Lonchura striata: one gene and its partner. Each later gene encodes a partner of the first gene's protein in a complex. Links are inferred from orthologs where the notes say so. Each region holds a gene or a part of one and is shown on either strand. Other genes may lie near its edges.

Evidence for each region. Proteins that work in one complex are often made in the same cells at the same time.
Region 2: the proteins of RAB11A (region 1) and RAB11FIP3 are in contact, whole or in part, in a crystal structure (PDB 2HV8), measured with the Homo sapiens proteins. The link is inferred for Lonchura striata from reciprocal best matches to the Homo sapiens genes RAB11A and RAB11FIP3. Residues at the interface, in NP_004654.1 of Homo sapiens: Arg33, Ile44, Gly45, Val46, Glu47, Phe48, Ala49, Thr50, Trp65, Arg72, Arg74, Ala75, Ile76, Ala79, Tyr80, Arg82; in NP_055515.1 of Homo sapiens: Asn731, Phe732, Gln735, Ile738, Asp739, Arg740, Ile742, Val743, Met746, Glu747, Pro750, Ser751, Leu753, Glu754, Val755, Lys756.

The regions. Positions count from the first base shown.
Region 1 is NC_134613.1:22,382,975-22,389,953, reverse strand, and holds the start of RAB11A (ras-related protein Rab-11A), read right to left. Parts: upstream 3,005-6,979; 5' UTR 2,893-3,004; coding exon 2,853-2,892; intron 1-2,852. UniProt on the Homo sapiens protein: The small GTPases Rab are key regulators of intracellular membrane trafficking, from the formation of transport vesicles to their fusion with membranes.
Region 2 is NC_134618.1:3,317,928-3,324,805, reverse strand, and holds the start of RAB11FIP3 (rab11 family-interacting protein 3), read left to right. Parts: upstream 1-3,870; 5' UTR 3,871-3,976; coding exon 3,977-4,615; intron 4,616-6,878. Other genes in the region: DECR2 (peroxisomal 2,4-dienoyl-CoA reductase [(3E)-enoyl-CoA-producing]), read left to right, coding at 362-396. UniProt on the Homo sapiens protein: Downstream effector molecule for Rab11 GTPase which is involved in endocytic trafficking, cytokinesis and intracellular ciliogenesis by participating in membrane delivery. Recruited by Rab11 to endosomes where it links Rab11 to dynein motor complex.

The DNA.
Region 1 (6,979 bases):
ACTAAAATGAGAGCAAGATTTATATGAACTGTACTTCATAGGCCTTGTGTTTCCTCAGGGGCCATTCTGGGAACAGCAGGCACTGCTCTCAGCCAGACCGTGAAAGTATGGAAGAATACAAAGACTGGAAGCTGGACGAGAAGAATTTAACAGAAACTGTTTTTTATCAAGCTAGGTTTAGTCCTTCCTATATGCTGAAGTGTTGCAACACAGTCAGGAGAAGTGTATTTTGTAACAGGTCCCTGGATTTTACTGTACAGCAGCACAGGTGGGCTCAGCTTTCACCCAGCAGCAGAGTCAACCAGATTTCAACACACAGCTGCAGTCAGGACAAAACCAGAGGTCTCACAAACAGAAACGTGGCAGTTCAGCCCAGGAACAGTAAAAAACAGCCAGACTAGAGAAGATCACATGATTGTTTTAACCAGGTTAAACTCTGAACTCAGTCCCACCAACCGACCCATACAGTCCCTTAAGAAACTCAGAAATGTCCTGCTGGATGAAGTGTCCTGACAGGCCAACACCCAGAGTCTGACTCCAAATAACTGATGTCCAAAAACCCTGATGTGCATCACAGCAAACAGGCTAATCTCTGTCCTAGCCAGCCCCTGCATCTTCAAATAAGCAATGCCTTCAGACTTGCCATCGTAACTGTCACACTGACACACCCCAAACAAGATTTTTTGCTTCTATGAATTTGTGCAGGCTTTCAAATCCATTTACAATATGCATGGCAATGCATCACTCCAAAATTTGCATACACACCTGAGGGATTTTGTCCATTTGCTTTCACCCGCTACCCAATAAAAGAAGCATTACAGATATCCAGAGAAATTACGACAAACAGGAGAAACTTACCCTATTTGCCCTTATCACTCACTGTTTAAATTTTAATCAAGCTGTACATCAATTGAGTATAAGGACTATGAATCCATTAGGTCTCTTTTCTGATCATTTTGATGCCTTTCTCCATCTTTTTAATTCTACAACATCCCTTTCAAAATGGTTATGTCTGTCATGGCTACACATCACCTCAATTCCCAAGAAGCTCATGTCTCAAATTCAAGCACTGACTTAACGCTCTCCCCAAGTTCCCACTTCCTTTTCCAAAATATTTACCTATATTTACCCCTAGCCTTTTTGACCAGTGCCTGGCAAAAGACATTCAGTTCAGAGATCTCCTTGCAGTAATTTCCAGATCATTCCAGAGTGGTGACAGCTTGTTTAGAACCACCATCACCTCTGGGAAGTTACAAAAGTTTCCACAGTTTCATTATTCTGCATTTTTGTGTTATTTCAGCTGCCACATCAATCCCAGTTAAGTGACAGACATTGCATCAACTTCCTGCAGTCCACTTTAGGCTGGAAAAATCCAAATCATTTATTTTCACAACAGCATTTTGACAGCATTCCCTGCACCCTCAATGGCTTCCATAAACCAAGCTGAACAGAAAACGCTTTAGCAAAGGCAATCAATTAAATCAGCTTTGCACTTCTCTCTATAACTGGATTCCAACTTTATATTTTCCCAACTAGAAAAGGAAGCAGGCCAAATGAAAGATAGGAGCTCTCCCAATAAACTCTGTGTCACTGATATTCCCAGGCTTCCACAGCTAGAACATTAATTACAAGCCCACTGACAGAACTGCAAGAACAATGGGAATTCAATGGCTTTGATAACCTGTACCTACAACAACATTGCCTGATGCCATTAAAACAGTGGTCAGCAAGGTCCTTGCCAGGGCTGCAAGCTGAGAAAAGAGCTCATTCTGGACCTTCCTGATTTGCTTTCCATAACAGTACAGATGTCTGATTTATAGGTAGAAATAATGGCACTTTCCACATGCAACTGGACAAAACAGCCAACAACAACAAAAAAAATGTAATTCCTCAAAGTTATTACAGGAGCTTAAAGGTACAGAAAAAAACATCAATATTTTACCTTTGTGAGGACAAGCACAGGGTCTGCCACCATTAAAACACAAGTAATGCTCTTAATCCTAAATTCAAATTTACAATATCACATCACAATAAACAACTACTTTTTTACACTACTTTGCTTGCTTTTACAGTGGGATTTTAAAAACTGGATAGTCAACTTTCAAAATATCAGCACTTCTGTACACATTTCACAGCAGGCCACATGAACCTGTCCAGCAGGCCGGTGTTTTACTCTGCAGGGAGTGAAAATTGAATATTTAACAACAACCTGGGAGGTTTTAATCCGACTTGCCACCGCATCGCAGACTGCAGGGGCATCAGCCCTGGGAATGACGGCATTCCTGCCCTTCCCTGGGGGAGCCAGGACAGAGCAAGGCCAGGCTGGACGGGGCTTGGAGCAACCTGGGACAGTGGAAGGTGTCCCTGCCCATGGCAGGGGCTTGGAATGCGATCATCTTAAGGTCCCTTCCCACTCAAACCATTCCATGATTGCAGGAGGATTTTATGATCTCTGGGCGTGGAGCAGCAGGGACATTCCACTCCTCGCCATGGGCTCTGAACACAGAAGGCAGCAAGGAGTACTATTTGATTAAATGAGCGCATCATTTATCAATGCTGAGTATATCTCGCCCACTCTAAAGCTCTATTTAACAGCTGGAAAGGTTCTTGTCAACCTTGAGGAGTCCTTTTCAGCCCTGGGCATCCTTCCTGGCGATCTCTGCTCGCCACCCCGCAGACCGTGCCGGGGCGGCCTCGGGCGGGCGCTGGCACCAAATCCGCCGGCCCGGAGCTGGCATTGTGCGTGAGGGAGGGCCGGACACCCGAGCGGGGCCCGGCGGTGCCCGGAGCGCTCCCGCACCCGCCGGGCCGCGCCCGCGGGCCCCGCCGCTCTCCCGCCCTGCCCGCCTCACCTTTGAAGAGATAATCGTACTCGTCGTCGCGGGTGCCCATGGCGGGTGGCGGAGGAGCGGGACCGGGAGCGCAGCGGAGCGGGGCCGGACCCTCCCTGCAGCCGCCGCAGCTCTTCCGCCCTCCGCGCTCCGCCCGCCCGCCCACAGGCGCTTCCGGGGCAGCGGCGCCGCCGCACGACCGCGCCCGAGGCAGCGCCGCGGCCGCGCCCTCAGCGGGGCCCGGCGGGCGGGGGTCCCGCCCGGCCCCGGAGCCCCCAGCGCCGAGCCCCCTCCGCCGCCCTGAGGGAGCGGCCGCGCTGCGGCGGCGAGCGGCGCGAGGAACTAGGGGCAGCCGGGAGGGGGTGGTGGCAGAGCGGTTCCATGGTGTAATGGTTAGCACTCTGGACTCTGAATCCAGCGATCCGAGTTCAAATCTCGGTGGAACCTGAATCTTTTCTACCCCCAGTTCGCTTTTATTTCTTTTCGGCTTTGTGTGCCCAAACGATGCTCGGGCTTCTCTGAGGAGTCCCTGTGCCCAAAGGATGGATGGGCACACTGAGCTCTCCGGATCCCTGTACTCAATGCCCAGGCACGCTCCCTCCAGGATCTCTGAGCCTATTCCCAAAGGATGGATGGGCACACTGAGTTCCCCGGACTCCTGTACTCCTGTACAGCCCAGGCACAGTCCATCCAGGATCTCTGAGCCTATTCCCAAAGGATGGATGGGCACACTGAGCTCTCCGGATCCCTGTACTCAATGCCCAGGCACAGTCCATCCAGGATCTCTGAGCCTATTCCCAAAGGATGGATGGGTACACTGAGCTCTCCGGATTCCTGTACTCAATGCCCAGGCACGCTCCCTCCAGGATCTCTGAGCCTATTCCCAAAGGATGGATGGGCACACTGAGCTACCCGGAATCCTGTGCCCAAGTGATGGCTGGGCATGCTCCGAGCTCCCTGGGCCTCTTCACACACTGTGATAATCTCACCTCACCTCTTGCCTGGAGCCCACCAACTTTAACCCCCACCATGGGGTGGGTGCCCTTCTCCTGCCTCCATGGGCAGGCACTGGCTCATCCCAAAGCCACCCACTAGCACAGGGGAACTTGGGGTTGGTCGATGGGAAGTCCCCCAAGAAGATCCCTCCTGTGAACTGAGCTGAGAGAGTCATATGAGCTTGTGGAGGTATTAGAGAGGCCAACAAGCTCTTTCAGCTCATAAGGTGCAAAAAAGCCATGAGCACAGGCCCCTTTCCCACTGCCACACCTGCCCACCCTGCTTCTCCCTTCCCAAAAGGTGTCCGGTTCCCCTTGTCTCCCCTGTGCCATGGCAGACACCAACTTTGTCATCAGCTTCTCCTGGTGCAGGCTTGAGATACAAACAACAGAGGATAAAAATAGCACTTGTGTCCAGATGATTAAACAGAATCCCTTAAAACTGCTCTTTCCCACCAGCCTGCCCTCAGCAGCAGCGTGTTTGCCATCACTGCAGTCAGTGGCTGTGTCATCATTCCTGCGTGTGGAAAGTAACCCCCAGGCATCAGCAGCAGTGCTGTGCAGCAGTTACCGTCTGCTGGCACCATAACGAGCCAGAACGTGATCCTCTGCATTTAAAGAGAAATCTTTCATGCTGCCTCAGAGCTTCCAAGTGGGGAAAACAAACATTAATAACAAAGACACCTGAAGGGTGACTGCAGCGTGTCCCTCCACAGGTCACAGAGGCATCACAGTCTGGGCTCACCCACACCCTGCTGCCAGCCTCTGATGTGCCCTGCACCTCCAGCTCCTCACAGGGGGTAGTGTAGTGGTGAGGGCTATAGGCATCTGTGTTGGATTCATCCTTTTTATCTCCAGCTAAACCCAGAATACACAAAATTTTGAACCTGAAAATGCTCATCCAGCTCCTGCCTTTCTCAATCCCCCGGCATTGAGTAGTACATCAAATAGATAACAGATACTTGCCTGTGTAGAGGCTGGGTATATTTATAATTCAGGAGCTCAGGTTTCTATCTCATATCCTATTTGCACTTGTCCATTAAACTTTGTTGTTAAAAAGCTATTAATTTTCACTTGATGTTTCTCAGACCTGGTTTCATCCTCCAGAACTGCTTTTAGAGCTAAAAAGCCTTAAAATAACACAGATTAAGTACCTCTAGTTATTCTCCTGTAAGAGCTGTTCTCCTTTTCATGCTTTGGATTGTGTTTGTGAGCCTAGAAACACCCTTTATTTACATTTTTCATGTGTGCAAGCATTACTTCCTCTTGCATCACATTGCAGATGTTCCTCATCTGGAACTGACTTACCCTGTGCAAGAGTTTAGGGCACAGAGTGAGGACAGTGGCTCTTCTGGCTTAGGTAAAAATCACAATCCCCACACTGCTGCAGCACTGTCACTTGTTGAACTTGAGCCATTGTAAAGCAAAGACATTTTTACCATTGATTTTTTTTAGCAAAACATGACTAGTTGTGCAGATTGCTATGGAATTGGGCAGCAGCAGGGATTACTTCTAGCTAAGCCTGTTTGAATGCAATTGACATTTAAAATCAGATTCTTCACGGTGAAAACTGAAACAGTAGAAAGAGCTCTGTGTCTAAACAGGAATCAACAGAGCAGGACATGAGGAGAGCATTGAACTAGCAAGGAGCTCCAGAAATTAAAGTCTTATATCCTGTTCAGTTCTGGGTTAATTTTGTTGCTATTCAAGCCACAGAGGAGAATATCCAAAGCCTCAGGAAATGTCACTGTCAGCACAGGCTGGTTTGGGCTGCTCTGCTCTTTCCCTGTGTCCCCTCCCAGAGTGAATTGCTGCAGAGATGGGACGGCCTGGGACACCTGCTGTGCACAGGAAACACAGCCAGAAAGCAGAGGTCAGGCTGGAATAACAGAGACTGTGCTCTCCAACTGACAGCTTTTATTGTGAGAACAGTCACTCAGCACTGGCATTTCTGCTGCATTAATTGCCATTAGTGTCATCCTTGCAGGAACACTAAATTCATGGCAAACCTTGAATTAGCACGCTCTCATAATTCCTGACTTAGGCAGAACCATTTGCAGAGGCAGCACATCCCAAGCAACTGGAGCAGAGACAAGGGATGATACTCAGCTGGGCCTTGGCTGGTCAATTTAGCAAAGAAAGAAGCAGAGGTCACACTCATAACTGTGTATTTATGGGTCTGTTCTGGAAATTCCCAGAGCAGCTGCCAAAAAGAGCCCAGCACCATTAAGGTGCAGATGTGTGTCAGGGCTTCCAGGTCTCAGCTGCCCAGCCCCAGGCACTGTGCATCAAGATCTCCCTGCATCCAATTCTCACTTCATTCTCCACTTCCCTCTTCCCACCAACTCCTGAGATCCCCCAGAGTAATCCTGGCCTAATAAAGTGGAAAATTTACCACCAGCCTTGATGGGTGTGGCATTCCCACAACAAGGTCAAGATGTTTTTGCAGAGCACACTGGTGGTATTTGACATGGAAATGGCAGAATGTGAAACAGGGATGGCCAGTATTTGCTGCTGGTCCCAGCAAAAAAAGAAAAAGCTTTTCTGGCTCGGAAATCCCTGTTCACACTTTGCAAATCCATCTCTTTGCAAAGCTCAGAGAAGATTTGGGATTGGAAATCACAATAATTCAAAATTGTCCTTGAAGGGCTGTTGACCCAAATTCCCATTTCCTGGATAAAAGCAGCCCCTGGCTTTCCTGGGGCAGAAAGCAGGAAGGACAAAAGCAAAGGCCCAGAACTGTGTTTTATCAGAGGAGAAATATTTCCTAAGGGGAAAATTCAATCAATACTTTGCAATTTCCTAACAATCCATTAATCATTGCAATTATGCAGAGATAATTCAAGCTTTCGAATCCAGCTGCTAAATTAGAGACAAGCGTACTCTTAGCACGCACTATCCTCAGTTTCACATGTCAGTCAGAAAAAAACTCCTTCAAATATAAAATCTCTCCACAGAAATTTAAAGAAACCAATTATTTTTAGAAACCTAGACCAATTTAAAGGGTTTACAATGTACAAGGATTCTATTTTCCAGGTAATTCTATGCCACAGGTAGGAATAATGAAAATACATGGAGTTAATATGAATTTTTCTGCATTCCATCACCTGCTATGTCCTTTCTGATTTCTACAGCTTTAAGAAGAAAAGGTAT
Region 2 (6,878 bases), on another chromosome or scaffold:
ACTCTCCCAGGGCATGGCTGCTGTAGCAGTGGGTGCACTGTCCTCATGGATAGTCCTTGGGATGAGCAGAACCTGCTGGATTTTCCCTTTGAGCCCGGCTTGTGACGTGGTGTCTTGTGGATGTTTGTCCAGACACCTCTGAGATTCCCCCAAAGCAACACAATGCCCATTTTCTGTGCCCCAGCAGCAGGATTGAGCACAGAGAATCCCAAGAGCCTCTTCCTTTCATGAATTCCTGCAGCCTGGCAGGGGAAGGGGTCTCCTGCCTTCCTCTCCTCCCTGCCTGTGTCCCACCTGGCAGCCTCCAGGAGCTGGGCAGGCCCCAGCAGGGCTCTGTCCCCACCTCCACCCTCTCTTGCAGATGTCTGGGCTGCGGGAGCAAACCAACCCCACTGACGGACAGCCTGGGACTGACTGACGGACAGATGTGACATGGGACACCGTGTGGGGACATCTCCCAGAGCCAGTGCTGACAGCCACAGCCTCTCCTCGGCCACTGGTGGTACTGGTGACGCTGCCAGTCCCATGTCTGCCTGAGGGACACAGCTCTGGGTGCTGGGTGGGGACCAAGGCCACCCCCATCCTGTGCCATTGCTGCCTTCTGAGCTGGCCTGGCTGTGGGTGCACAGACAGCTGGGAGGGCTGAGGTGGTCTCTGGCCCTTTGTGGCTCCCTCCAAGCTGCTCTGGTGGCCTTTCCCAAGCCTCCAGCAGTGCCACCCGTGGGTACCCATCCTCTTAGTCCCCTCTCCCCTGTCTTACCCTGAGAACTTCACGAGACCCCCAGCAGCAGCTCCTTTTTGGGAGGGGAAGCAGCTCAGCCCGCCTGGGGTCACCCAGCGTGGTGGGCTCAGTTCTGCCCTGGCAACTCTTGGAGGGGAAACCCTGGCAGGGGGAGGTGGCTGTGTCCCCTGAGGGGTCCTGGGTGGGACAGTGGTCCTGGGAGGCTGCCAGGGATGCAGCTGGGATGCCCCTGCAGGAGCAGAGGTGGTGTGAGGGCAGATCCCCCAGGTCCAGTTCTGCACTGCAGTGTCCAGTGGTCTGTCCACACCCGTCTGTCTGTCACACCAGTGTCATGCTGTCTCCTTCTGCTCAAGCTGAGGCAAAGTGAAGGGCTCGAACTGGAATCTAGTCCTTTCCTCCTGCTGGGCTGCAGGAGGCACAGCAGGGCTGCACGGGTGGCACTGCTGGAGCCAGCCCTGTTCCTGGTGCTGGCACCCCAGGGGACACACGCTGCTCATGTGCACCCTCCTGCTGCTGCTGGTAGTTCGTAGGCTCACCCTGGATTCCATGAAGCTTGTTTTCCCATTTGATTTCCTATTTGATTGTAGACTTGCCAGGTTTTACCCCTCCCTCCAGGCCACCAATAAAGAATTTTCCCCCTGAGCAGTGATGCCTCTCTCTGCTGCAGGAGCACCAGTGCCCTGCTCAGCTGACTGGTCCAAACTGGGTGCTGAGGGAGGGGGAAAAGCCACTGCTCCCACTGCCAGGGCCTTGTGTGGCTCCAGTCCTTGGCTCTGTGGTGCCTCAGTGCTCCAGGCCACGGGGCTTGGGGACCTGCCAGCTCCTCATCCCCAGGGGCTCTGGGAAGGTGGTTCCAGAGGTGGTGGGAGGTGCTGAGGGCTTTGGTGAGAGGCTCAGCCCTTCACGGGGACAGGGATGCAGTGCTTGGGCTGGAGTCTGGGTGGATCCTTAGTCTGGGATGTGGCTCCAGCTGCAGTGTTCTCTTGCTGGATCCCAGGATGTGTTTTCTCCTGGGGAAGGTTCCTGTGTGCTGTGTGTTGGCCCTTCTGCCCAGCTGCAGCCTTGTCTCTGGGAGGCTCCATGGATTTTGCTGTTCCACCATGCCCAGGTGACCTGGGCACTGTCAGGGCTGTCCTGGCTCCGTGGCCACCCCAGGAAGGAGCTGAGCTTGTGTCTCCAGCAGCAGGGGAAGGACAGAGCTCCGGGCCCAGCCTTGGCATAGCCCGGAGCTTCAGGAACCCACCCAGGGGTGCAGAGCTGCCTCTCACAGCATCAGGCTGGCACCTCATGCCCTGCCAGCCCCGTCCGTGCAGGAACCCTGGCTGCTGGAGCTGTCTGGAAGCTGGGAATTGCCCAGGGGATGGCTGAGGCAGGTGCTGCTGTGCTTCCCCTGTGGGGCTGACCAAGGAGCTCCCTACTGCCCTGCTCACCTTTAGGAATGGCTGTGCTGAGGAGGAGGATTTGGAATGAAGGATCTGGAGGATTTGTGGGGCTGACCAAGGAGCCCCATCCTGCCCAGCGCTGGGCTGACTGGACAGGGGTGACCTCTCTCTGGGGATGCTGCTGAGCTCTGGCTCTTGGGCTGAGTGTGCTGGGGGTCACACTGTGGCCCAACCAGGCTGCTCATGAGATGTCACACACATCCGTGACCTGGGCAGGGTCACTGGGGCCAAGGATGCTCCTGCTCATCAAGTTTGCTGCTAATTATACCCAGGGGCTGTAATTCCACACGCTGGGCAGCTCAGGAGTGTGTTAGTGGGGTCATCCACAGAACCTCCATCAATGAACCCATTGATGAGGTGCCAGGGCTGTCCCGGTGCTCAGCTCCCCCCGGAGCACTCGGGCATCCCGGGGCACAGTGCTGCCCCACTGGGGTTGGGGGTCCCAGCTCCTCTCCCCAAGGGATTTGGGGTTCCAGTGCACAGTTCACACCTGAAGCAGCTGGGCAGTGCCATTGCGCAGTTCCCCCCACAGAGATTTGGGGTCCCAGAGTGAGGTTTGGGTTTGGGGTCCCAGAGCATGGTTTGGGGTCCTGGAGCACAGTTTGGGTTTGGGGTTCCCAAGCGCGGTTTGGTTTTGGGGTCCCAAAGCAGGGTTTGGGTTTGGGGTCCCAGAGCACGGTTTGGGGTCCTGGAGCACAGTTTGGGTTTGGGGTTCCCAAACGCGGTTTGGGTTTGGGGTCCTGAAGCACAGTTTGGGTTTGGGGTCCCAGAGCACGGTTTGGGTTTGGGGTCCTAGAGCACGGTTTGGGATCCCGGAGCAGGGTTTGATTTTGGGGTCCTGGAGCGCAGTCTGGGTTTGGGGTCCTAGAGCATAGTTTGGGATCCCGGAACGCTGTTTGGGTTTGGGCTCCCGGAGCAGGCTGTGGGGTCCCGGAGCAGGGTGTGGGGTCCCGGAGCAGGGTGTGGGGTCCCGGAGCAGGGTTCGGGGTCCCGGAGCAGGGTTCGGGTGTGGGGTCCCGGAGCAGGGTTTGGGGTCCCGGAGCAGGGTTCGGGTTCGGGGTCCCGGAGCAGGGTTCGGGGTCCCGGAGCAGGGTGTGGGGTCCCGGAGCAGGGTTCGGGGTCCCGGAGCAGGGTTTGGGGTCCTGGAGCAGGGTTCGGGGTCCCGGAGCAGGGTTCGGGTTCGGGGTCCCGGAGCAGGGTTTGGGGTCCCGGAGCAGGGTTCGGGTGTGGGGTCCCGGAGCAGGGTTTGTTTCCCAGCAGGGGGATCTGGGGGTCCCCGCTCACAGCGCCCCCCGGCCCCACGTGCTCGCGCTCCGCCGGCCCCGCCCCCGCCGCGCGCGCCCGGGGAGGGGGCGTGGCCTCGGTCGGGCTCGCGCCGCGGAGGGGCGGGGCGGACCGGCAGGCGAGTGACGTCACCGCCCCGGCTACTGCGGCGGCGGGGCTGGAGCTGCCGCTGGTCCGCGGCGGCCCCGGAGCGGCGGCGCGGGCGGGCGGCCGGTGGGGTTGTTCCTCGGCGCCGCCGCCGCCTCCCCCAACCCCCGATCCCGGCCAGGACCCGCAGCCCCGGCGCTCGGAGCCGCCGCTCCCCGCGCTCGGAGCCGCCGCTCCCCGCGCAGGGCGGGACCGGCGGGGCCGCCCCCGGTGTCGGCGGGCGGGGCCGGCGTTCCTCGCACAAAGCCGTGAGTGCCGCGGGGACCGTACCGGTACCGGCACCGCCCCGATGTGAGCGGGGCATGGCCGCGGGGCATGGCCCGGGTCGGGCGGCGGTGGGCGCGCAGCGCCGGCGGTGAAGATGGAGCCGCGTCCGCCTGGGACCGAGCCCCCGCTGCCCCGGGGGCCGGGACCCGGGCCCGAGCCGGAGCTGGAACCGGAACCAGAACCCGAGCTAGAGCTGGAACCGGAGCCGGACCTGGACGTGCAGCGGGAACCGGAGCCGGAGCTGGAACCAGAACCCGAGCTGGAGCTGGAACCGGAACCGGAGCTGGAACCAGAACCCGAGCTGGAGCTGGAGCTGGAACCAGAACCCGAGCTGGAGCTGGAGCTGGAACCGGAACCGGAGCTGGAACCAGAACCCGAGCTGGAGCTGGAACCGGAGCCGGAGCTGGAACCGGAGCCGGAGCTAGAACCAGAACCCGAGCTGGAGCTGGAACCGGAGCCGGAGCTGGAACCGGAGCCGGGGCTGGAAGAGGAGGCGGACCTGGGCCCGGAGCTGGATCTGGACCTCTGGGCACTTGAGCCCGCCGCTCCCGGCGCGGGGCCGCCGCCCTGGTGCCCGGGGGAGGCCGGGGACAGCCCGGGGAGCCCCGCCGAGCCCCCGCCGGAGGAGGAGCCGCGCCTCCGCCCGGTCTTCGACGCCCTGGACCGGGACGGCGATGGCTTCGTGCGCGTGGAGGAGTTCGTGCAGTTCGCCACGGCCTACGGCGCCGAGCAGGTGAGCACCGGGCACCGCACCTGCCCACCGCGGGGCCCGGGCCGGGGCACCGGCCGTGGCGGCACCGCTTGTTGCCCGGTGCCCCGCCGCCCGAGGCTGATGGTGGTGGTGGCTTCTGCCCGGCCTCCGGCCCTTGGAGAGCTCCGTGTCCCCAAGGCCGGCGCTGGCATCCCGTCGCCGCGGGTGAAGGGCACGCGTGGCTCCCGGAGCTGCCGTGCTCCGGGGGAGCGGCGCCGCCGGCTGCCCGCAGCTCTTTGTTCTGCAGCGCTGCCGCCCCGGGGCTCGCCGGGCAGCGGCACATCCCGGCCCGGGGGCTGCTCCGTGCCAACCCTGCTGACCCCGGCTCACCCCATAACGGGGAGCATCCCTGCCCGCGGGTTGGAACGAGGTGATCCTTCAGGGCCTTCCCAACGCAGACCATTCCCTGCTTCCCTGCTTCCTCGCTTGTCCCGGCTTTGACAGCTCGAATGAGGATTTCCCCCATCCTGCTGCTTTGTGCCCTGCCCAGCCGGTGTTCCCCTGCAGCAGATCACGGGCGATGTAATTTGAAGCTGACTAAAAATGGAGCAAGCTCCGGCAGCGCTCACCAGGGGATGGAGATGGATTTCTTGGTGTTTAGTGCATTGGCCTGGGCTGGCATCGCTACCAGGAAAAGAAAATTTATTTTTTTAAGGAATGCAGGTATTGCTGTGAAGTTTTCCCTGTGCCTGCCCGGATCTGCTCTCGTTCTCCATCCGTGGCAGCTGCGCGGGTATTTAAGTGCCATGACAAAGCAAATCATGTGTGAAGGAGGCTTTTGATGGAGGAGAGCTTTTTATCCCTGTCCTTGTGCCAGAAACACCTCTCAAAGATAAAACAGAGATATTTATTTTAGAAAAATAGCCCTGCAAAGTGGAGACAGGGAAGACAGGGAACTTCTTGGTGTTGCAGAAGGGTGCAGAGGGTTGCTCTGTGTGTGCAGAGGGTCTCTAGGTGTGAGCTCAGGTACCTCGGCTGCTCCTGCCTGTGCCAGCAGAGAGGCTTGATTCCTAAATCCTCTCTCCTGCCCTGCCTGGGCCAGGCTCCTGTGCCACCGCTCCGGTGTCCCACTGCTGTCCCCAGCAGAGGAGACAGGAGCAGACAGCCCACGGAGGCTCCTGCACACGGTGCCACCTCCCGGGGGACTGTTTGCCTTTGTGTCCTTCGGCGTGGAGCAGCCCAAGGACGTGGGAAATGGGGACAGGAGGTGGCGTGTGCGTGGCAGGGGACGTGGCGGGTGGCTCTGGGTGTGCAGCTCAGCCTGGCGGTGCCGGTGTCGGCGTGGGGATGGTGCCAGAGCTCCAGAGGGGCCTCACTGAGCCTGGAAAACACCCTCAGACCATGGCTGGGGAGTGGCTGTGGGCTGCTCAGGTCACCCCAAAGCTCAGGAGGTTTTGTGCTGTTGGATAGTGTCTGTCCACATGGATCCGTCTGGGAAGGGGCTCTCTGCAGGCTCCCCGTTCCGGCCTGCTGAGCACAGCTAATGCTGCCATAAATGATGCTTTGAAAACCCATTTCTCTTCAGCAAGAGGCTCTGGCGTGCAGGACAGCTGGGTGCTGGCACAGCGGGTGCTGAGCCCCTTGGGGAGGTTGGTGTGGCAATGCCTGAGCCAGCAGGTCCTGGGCACTCCAGGGGACTGGCAGAGGGGGAAAGGTGATGCCTGTGTGTGCAGGAGGACTTGGTGTGAGTCTGCAGCTTAGAAAGGACCAGGACACGCTGAGGGAGGGCGAGAAGGGGTTGGTGATGGGGTCTGTGAGCTCTCAGCAGATCATATTTGTTCCTCATTAACTGCCCTTTGTGATTACCCAGGCAGCCACCACACCCCGACCCCTCTCTCGCAGCATCCCAGTTCTGGTTGTGGCACAACCTCTATTTACACCTTCAGGTCCCATTTAGTGGGAAGGGTCCCACAGGAATCACTGGGTCCAGACACCCCAGCAATCCCACCCTGGGCATCCCTGAGATCATTGTCCAAACCCTCCTGGAGCTCTGGCAGCCTTGGGGCTGTGCCTGTTCCCTGGGGAGCCTGGGCAGTGCCCAGCACCTCTGGGGGAAGAACCTTTCCTCATCTCCAACCTGAGCCCCCTGATTCATGGAATAATAAAGGAAGGAGTCCTGGGGAAGTTCCTTGACCTGTCTTTCATGAGGCAGCTGGAACCTGGACCCAGAGTGGATCTTCTAGAAAACAGAGATCAGCTCAGGTGGGAGTTAAAGGGGAGGAACATCCCCGGTGGTAAAACGTGA